Sus scrofa: one gene and its partner. The protein of the gene in region 1 binds, or shares a complex with, the protein of each later gene. Links are inferred from orthologs where the notes say so. Each region holds a gene or a part of one and is shown in the gene's direction. Other genes may lie near its edges. The genes, in order: KATNB1 and KATNA1.

Region 1 (3,808 bases):
CTGTAAGCTGCCCTTGGGCTGTTTTCAGAAGCCAGGACAAGACTTCTCCACTTATTAACTCTGAGAACCTGGGCCTTGGCATCCTCATTTTAAATGACAAGAGGATTGGGCCATTTGCAAACTGTTCCTCAGCCCCTAGGGTTCTGGGAGAATCCTCTTACGGGCTGCCAAGGAGGGTGCACTTTGGACATAGCAGCTTTGTATTTATTGGGGTTATGTGTCTATACCTTCAACAGCTGGTTTTTTCTGAGAAACCAGGAGAGAACCTGGCAGAGGGAGGGCAAAATAGCTAAGGTCTCTCTGCTGTGGGGCTCAGAGCCTGGGGAAAGCAATAGGCAGGAATGAGATAATCACACCCAGCCATTTCTCCTTTTCTGATTCTAAGCAGAAACAAATGCTTTGAATCAGTGAACTAGATGTGGGGGTGGGGCATGGGGAAGTGCTGTGCCTGAGCCTCCTGTGCAAAGGCCCTGAGGCAGGAAGCTTGGTGCGATGGAAGGTCTCAAAGGAGGCCATGGGCAGTGACGTAGCAGTGTGGAGAATGTGGTGCCCCATAGGCTGGCAAGGTCTTCAGGGACACATGTCCACAGGACCCTGGCCCTTCTGAGGCTTTGGCTTTATCTGAAAGGCAAGAGCAAGCCATCAAAGCATTCAAGTGGGAGGTGATGTGATCAGGCATATTGAGCATCTGCTGACAGTTTCATGTGCACGGCAGTTTCCGCAGGTATAAATTGTCTGAAGAATCCAAGGCGGAATGACCCCTGGCTCCTTGTGGCTCTAGAATCTGGGGAGGATCAGAAGGTGTCTGGCCAGCATGAGGCCCGGGTGAAGCCTAGTCTTTCGCACTTTCCGTTTGAGCTTCTGCCAGTGCTCAGTGTCTCTGGCCAGAATGCTGTGTTCCCCCAGCAGTGGCTGGGATGTAGGGCCCAGCTTGTGCCACCTGAGCCCGGGCAGCTGGCGTGGGCCTGTGACACAAGGTAGAGCAGCAGCCATCAGCCTGGCTTGCCAGTAGATGTGGTGAGGATTTTTTATTTGTTGGCATTTAAATTCGGTACCCGGTCCTGGCCATTGGTGAGTATGGTCCTTCAGGCCAGAAGGGGTGCTCTTGGGCCAGTGCCCTGTGCCAAGGCCTCCTCTGCCTGGTGCCTGAGGTGTGCCCACCTCCGCCCTCCCTAGTCCTTCAAGGAGCTCCTTTCAGTCCCCTGGTCAGGCTGCTTGCAGGGAAGTGGTCTGAGCCCTTCTAGGAAAGGGCCCAGCCTCCAAATTCTGCTCGCCCTCAAGTTTGTGGTTCTTCCAGCTGGGTGCTGTCCTGGGAACCATCTGATCAGGCCGTAGAGTGAAGACAGGAACCTAATCACTCTCCCTCCCCACCGTCCCTCGGCGCCAGGCCTAGAGCGGCACCTGGGAAAATGTACATATGGACGAATGGCTGTCCCCAGGGGTTAGAAGTCCTGAGGTACAGAGCGGGGTGGCAGTGCTCTCAGGAGGCCCAGGGTGGTGCGGCCTAGCCAGAATTTTCCTTGGGAAGGGTGTGAGCTGGGGTGGGCAGGCAGTCACGCCTCCAGGTGGGTCATACACAGAGGGCGGCGTGTGCAGGGAGCATCCAGAGAAGAGGAGGGGGCCCCCGGGCCGGGCACACAGTGCTCGGGGGGGGGGTGGTTTATGCTTTCTCTGGGCTGGGCAGCCAGTTTAGCCCAGCAGAAGCCCTTGAACAGACAAGTGTCTGCAGCCCGAGCCCCAGAGCACCTAGGCATCTGTGCCACTGTGTCCAGAGGACAGGGGGCTCTGTGGCTGAGGAGCGGACCGGAGAGAGACCCAGCTTTCTCGCCTCCAGGGGCAGGGTCCCTGAGGCCCCAGGTTACATTTGGGCCTGCTGCCAGCTCTCATCCTGCGGGGGCTGGGTGCCTGGGCTGTTGTCGGTGGGGTTGAGCCTGAGGCCTGGTCCCCTGGGCAGTACTGACAGCCCCTGTGAGCCATCCCGCCTGACAAGCAGCCTTCCTGGTCCCTGTCTGCTAACCTCCCTGCAGTCTGAGGCCGGCGCCACAGAGACCCCAGGCTGGGTGGAGGCAGGAGGGGCCTCTGCAGGGCCACCCTCTCTCTTGGAGTCATCCCTCGGAGTCACCCAGTCGGGCCTCTCGGCTGCCTGCCTCGGGGCATCAGCGTGTTGGGGTTTTCCCTCGTCTCTGTGAGGAGACCTGTTTCTTCCCTCCATGTTCTCAGGAGGAGCTGCTCAGGCTGTGGCTGGAGGCCTGGGCTGCCTCTTGGTTCCTTGCCCGCGGTTTGTTCCCTTGGGGCCCTGGTGATGCCCTCTGAGACTTAGGTCTGCAGCCCCCTAGTCCAGGCCACGGGCCCTCGTGGCTGCCCGTGGTGACCTTGCCTCCCATTCTGTCTCGTTGGCCCTCACATCCAGGCCCCCCAGTCGGCTCCCTCCTGCTCCCCTCTCACAGCCCACCCCCCTGAGCCCAGTGCCCGCTCTATGGCCTCAGCCTGCCTAGCAGCCACGGGCACTCAGCCCCCTCACAGCAGCTCCCAGGCCCGTCCTCACTACACCCTCAGCAGCCTGTTGATCCAGGCACTATTATTATCCCCATTTACCCATCGAGGAGCTCAGTGCCTAGAGAGGGTGAGTGACTTGTTTAAGGCCACACAGCCTGCAATAGCAGAGCTCAGACTAGAACCCGGTCCATAACTCTGAAGCTGTTCTGGCTGAGCTCACCTTGGACAGTTTGTCTGCAGTTGCATGGTTCTGAAAGTGTGTCCCCCCAAGCGGAAACAGCGAGCAACAGCTGAGAGGCACTTTGGGGGCACATAGGTCAGTGTTTTTTATTTTAATAATTGTTTTCATCTTTCTTTTCGTCTCAGAAAAAAATGTAACGAACATATTGAACTTGTAATTATGTGGCTATTATTGCCTAAAAGGCAGAGCTAAGTAGAAAGAGCAAGTCATTTTAAAAAATTGAATGTGGTGACTAGTCAGCAGTAGTACCTGTTGATATGTGGCAACAAGGAAAAAAAACCCTGAGGTCTAAGGGTGGGATGAAAATGATGGAAACTGAGAAATAGTCATTTCTATCTCAGACCCCAGCCCCATCTTGTCCCACAGCTCAAGAGGGGTGTCTGGCACCAAAAGGAGAGCTGCAGGGACTTCAGATGCCAGGGCTGGTGGTGCCCAGCGGGAGGGCAGCCCTCCTCCGTGTGGTCCGTCAGGCCTCTGACTGCGTTTTCCCTCTGCTCTTTCCTGTGTAGAGGAGATCGTGGCCCACGCCAGCAATGTGTCCTCGCTGGTGCTGGGCAAAGCCTCAGGCCGGCTGCTGGCCACCGGCGGGGATGACTGCCGGGTCAACCTGTGGTCTGTCAACAAGCCCAACTGCATCATGGTGAGGCTGGGCCGGCGGGGCGGGGCGGGGAGCTGTGGGCGGGGCGGGGAGCTGTGGGCGGGGCGGGGCGGGGCGGGGCTTGGGGGCAGCTGTGGGCAGGGTTAGGGCTGGGAGTGGGCTGCTTTTCGGGCACCCAGCACCTCAGTCCCTCCCCCAGCCGTCTGCTTAGGAAAGCCCAGGACAGCGCGGCTGGCTGGGACAGTGGCTGGTCCTCAGAAATCAGGGGGTCGCCTGGCCGCGGGACAGAACTCTAGGGAGCCTGTGTGAGAAAGCGAAAAGAAGCCCACAGGCCCGAGTTTGAGCCTCCCCTGCCCACTGGCCCATCCCCCTGCTGTCAGATTCAGTTGGGCCATTTGGATTCATTCCCCACCTCCTCCCACGGAAAAGGATTTGAAGGCCCCTGGTTGGAGCTGGTGAGAGAGCTGGTTCTT
Region 2 (3,808 bases), on another chromosome or scaffold:
CTAGTCGGATTTGTTAACCACTGTGCCACGACGGGAACTCCTTGATATTCTTTTAATGGATATAACCTACATAGTTAGCCATGCTCTTATTGGTTGTTTTTCCCTTTTTTGTTGTTAGAAATAAAGTGAATATTTTCCTGCATTCATGATTACTTTTTTTTTTCCTGGTTATGCCTGCAGCATATGAAAATTCCCGGGCTGGGGATCGAATCTGAGCCATAGCTGCAGCAATGCCAGACCCTTAACCCATTGTGCTAGGCTGGGGATCAAGCCCACACCTCAGCAGTGACCCATGCTGCTGCAGAGACAATGCTGGATCCTTAACCCACTATGCCACAGTGGGAACTGCTATGATTACATTTTCTTAATTTCAGAGTAGAACTAATAATAGATAGGTCAAGTTGTGTATTGCTGCTCTTGGTGTTTTTGGCCACACTTCTGGCATCCACAAGTTCCCTGGGACCAGGGATCAAACCTGTGCCACAGCTGTAACCAGAGCCACAGCAGTGACAATGCTGGATCCTTAACCCGCTGAGCCATCAGGGAATTCTGATTAATGCTGTATTTTGATAAAACTCTCTTCTCTGATTATTGCTCTCTTTGAAGTTTCCAAGAAACAGACTAATTTTTCATTTATCCTCAATATCCAAGGATATCAGCTATCTCCTTTCAAAAGAGAGGTGGTGGTCATTTGCCTTCCACTATTTCCACCATGTAACCATACTGCCCTGCAGACAGCTGTGTCTGCTATCATGTTAGATCTTAGATTTCAGTGACCTCAGGTTTTTCATTTCTTCTTGGGTTCATTTATTGCCTTCGCTTCTTTAATTCATAGGCTCTTAACTTACACACTATGTGTGTTCACCTACAGTTGGACCAACTCCAAGAGCTGATACGATTTTCATGATCTTGTGTTTGATTAGACCCTCCCCAGGACCTAGAAAACGTCAGTCTCCTCAGTACAGTGACGCCAAAGCACACGGTAATCGTCCAAGTACGGCTGTCAGAGGTCACCGTCCATCTACACACAGTCTTCACAATGACAGAGGGAAAACTGTTCGTTGTCGGGAAAAGAAAGAACAGAATAAAGGAAGGGAAGAAAAGGTAAATGTTACTGATTTTCATAAGTGAAAGAGTTATTTGTCATCCTTAAAAATGAAGACAACAAATTTTAATAATTTTTAGTAATTATATCTGCTGCTATAGTAAAGCCATAGCCATTCTCCACCTAGGCTGGGATTCTTCCCACTCACCATTCAACAAATATTTTTTGGTGCTCTTTGTAACTTTCTTTTTTTTTCTTTCTGGTCTTTTTAGGGCCGTACCCACAATATATGGAGGTTCCCAGGCTAGGGGTCGAATCAGAGCTGTAGCCGCTGGCCTGCGCCACAGCCACAGCAACACCAGATCCGAGCCACATCTGTGACCTACACCACAGCTCGTGGCAATGCCAGATCCTTAACCCACTGAACAAGGCCAGGGATTGAACCTGTGTCCTTGTGGATACTAGTCAGATTTGTTTCTGCTAAGCTGCAACGGGAACTCCTGTAACTTTCTATCTTGATGTAATTTCAGTCTTGCAAACAAGTTGCAAGAATGGCATAAGGAACTTCCACATACTCTTTACCCAGTTTTATTAGTTAATAGCCCCTTTTGCTTTATCATTTTCTCTCTGCGTATACTTTTTTTTTCTAAAAGCATCAAGAGTAAGTTGTGGAGGAGTTCCTTTCATGGCTCAGCAGAAACGAATCTAACATCCATGAGGACACAGGTTTGATCCCTGACCTCACTCAGTGGGTTAAGGATCCAGTGTTGCTGTGAGCTGTGATGTAGGTAGAAGATGCAGCTTGGATCCTGTGCTGCTGTGGCTGTGGCGTAGGCTGGCAGCTGCAGCTCCAATTCGACCCCTAGCCTGGAAACCTCCATATGCTGCAGGTGCAGGCTAAAAAAGACAAAAAAAAAAAAAAAAAAAAAAGTTGTGGATATCATGCCCTTTTACCCTTAAATATTTTAGGGCTGATTTCCCAGGTATTGAGGCATTCTTTCACATAAACTCAATGCCGTGATCAAAAATACACTGATATAGAACTGTTATCTAATCCACAGACCTTCATAAAATTCTTGCCAGTTATCCTAATAATGTCATTTATAGTTTTCACCAGCCCCCTCCATCCCAGGACCCACTGTAGAAGCATGTGTTACATTTGGTCATCCGTGTGTTTAGTCTTCTTTCGTGTGAACATTTCCTCAGCCTTTATCTTTTTTGTCCGAGTGTTTTAAGAGTTATTTTGTAGCATGTTCCTTGATTTGGGTTGGCCTGATGTTTCCTCATGATTAGATTAAGGTGGTGCATTTTTGGCAAGAATACCACTGAAGTGAAGTTTTGTTCTTCTGAGTTTATCATGTAATGAATGAAGCACAGGATGTTTCTTTGTTCTATTGCTTATGATAAATTGGGTCACTTGGTTAGGATGGTGTTTGCCAAGCCTCTCCACGGTAAAGTTACTCTTTTTCCCCTTATGGTAATTTGTGGGGAGATACTTTATGATTATATAAATATCCTATCTCTCATTAAAATTTCACATACTGGAGTTCCCGTCGTGGCGCAGTGGTTAACGAATCCGACTAGGAACCATGAGGTTGCGGGTTCGGTCCCTGCCCTTGCTCAGTGGGTTAACGATCCGGCGTTGCCGTGAGCTGTGGTGTAGGTTGCAGACACGGCTCGGATCCCGCGTTGCTGTGGCTCTGGCGTAGGCCGGTGGCTACAGCTCCGATTCAACCCCTAGCCTGGGAACCTCCATATGCCGCGGGAGCGGCCCAAGAAATAGCAACAACAACAACAACAAAAAAAAAAGACAAAAAAAAGACAAAAAGACCAAAAAAAAAAAAAAAAATTTCACATACTTGTCCTAGCCTCCAGTGATTCTTGCCTGAATCAGTTATTCCTTTGATAGTTGAAATATAATTTCCTAATGCCATTATCTCACCTACATTAATTAATTTACATTGAACCATAAGAAAGAGTTCTCTCCCTTCTCCTTGATTTAATTTTATCACTATGGACTCAAGGATTCTTATTTTATTCACTGAATTAAAGTCTGTCACTGTCTTTTTGATGCTTAAAATTGTTCAAGATTTGAGGAGCAGTAGCCTCTTGAAACTGGATCTTAAGTCTTTTTGAATTGTAGTCACTGTTCTCTGAGCACCTCCTCATTTTCTGACACGATAGGATGTTTCGGGCTCTTACTGTATTTCCCCCATTTCCCCAGGAAACTCTGGTTCCTACTGATGGGAAAGAGATTTAAAAACTAAGCTTTCAGTGCTAATTAATATTAATTGAGGGCTTGTACTCCCTTGGAGTCAGAAGCATGTGGGAATCTAAGGACTCAGTTTCTGTCGCTTCTGCTTCCACCTTTCCCTGTCCCCTGCGAAATGCTAAAGTACAGGATAACTTGTCAGACTTGCAGTACCAAAAGGACCACTCCACACCACCTGGGCAAAGGAGAAACTGGGTCACAGCGAATGTAAAGCCCCCAGTGTGGCCCATCTGTTCCTCTTCAAAACATTATATTAGCCCCTACTCAAAGTTCTTTTTTCTAAATTTGCAATCTCTGTAATTCTGCTTGAGAACCTCATCCAGTAACCAGCCAGCTGACACCTCTGAACACAACTGTCTGTGTTGATAAAAGTACAGATGTGCATGTAGCTCTTCCTTTTTCTTGTTCTTTTCTTTCTTTTTCTTTTTTCTTTTTGGCTACACCCACAGAATGTGAAAGTTTCTGTGCCAGGGATCCAATCGGAGCCACAG

The links.
Region 2: the proteins of KATNB1 (region 1) and KATNA1 are in contact, whole or in part, in a crystal structure (PDB 5OW5), measured with the Mus musculus proteins. The link is inferred for Sus scrofa from reciprocal best matches to the Homo sapiens genes KATNB1 and KATNA1. Residues at the interface, in NP_083081.2 of Mus musculus: Leu485, Val486, Asp487, Glu488, Ala490, Met491, Gln493, Ile494, Arg495, Gly497, His498, Met501, Phe502, Val504, Leu505, Thr506, Arg508, His509, Leu512, Asp513, Val515, Arg516, Trp519, Thr521, Asp542, Leu543, Ile546, Gln549, Lys550, Leu553; in NP_035965.2 of Mus musculus: Leu5, Gln6, Ile8, Val9, Val12, Arg16, Ala19, Leu20, Leu21, Gly22, Tyr24, Tyr31, Tyr41, Leu50, Lys53, Trp54, Gln56, Val57, Glu60, Ile61, Val63, Glu64, Gln67, Val68, Asp70, Ile71, Thr74, Leu75, Ser77, Phe78.

The regions. Positions count from the first base shown.
Region 1 is NC_010448.4:19,633,210-19,637,017, forward strand, and holds part of KATNB1 (katanin p80 WD40 repeat-containing subunit B1), read left to right. Parts: intron 1-3,246; coding exon 3,247-3,377; intron 3,378-3,808.
Region 2 is NC_010443.5:16,340,611-16,344,418, forward strand, and holds part of KATNA1 (katanin p60 ATPase-containing subunit A1), read left to right. Parts: intron 1-923; coding exon 924-1,104; intron 1,105-3,808. UniProt on the Homo sapiens protein: Catalytic subunit of a complex which severs microtubules in an ATP-dependent manner. Microtubule severing may promote rapid reorganization of cellular microtubule arrays and the release of microtubules from the centrosome following nucleation.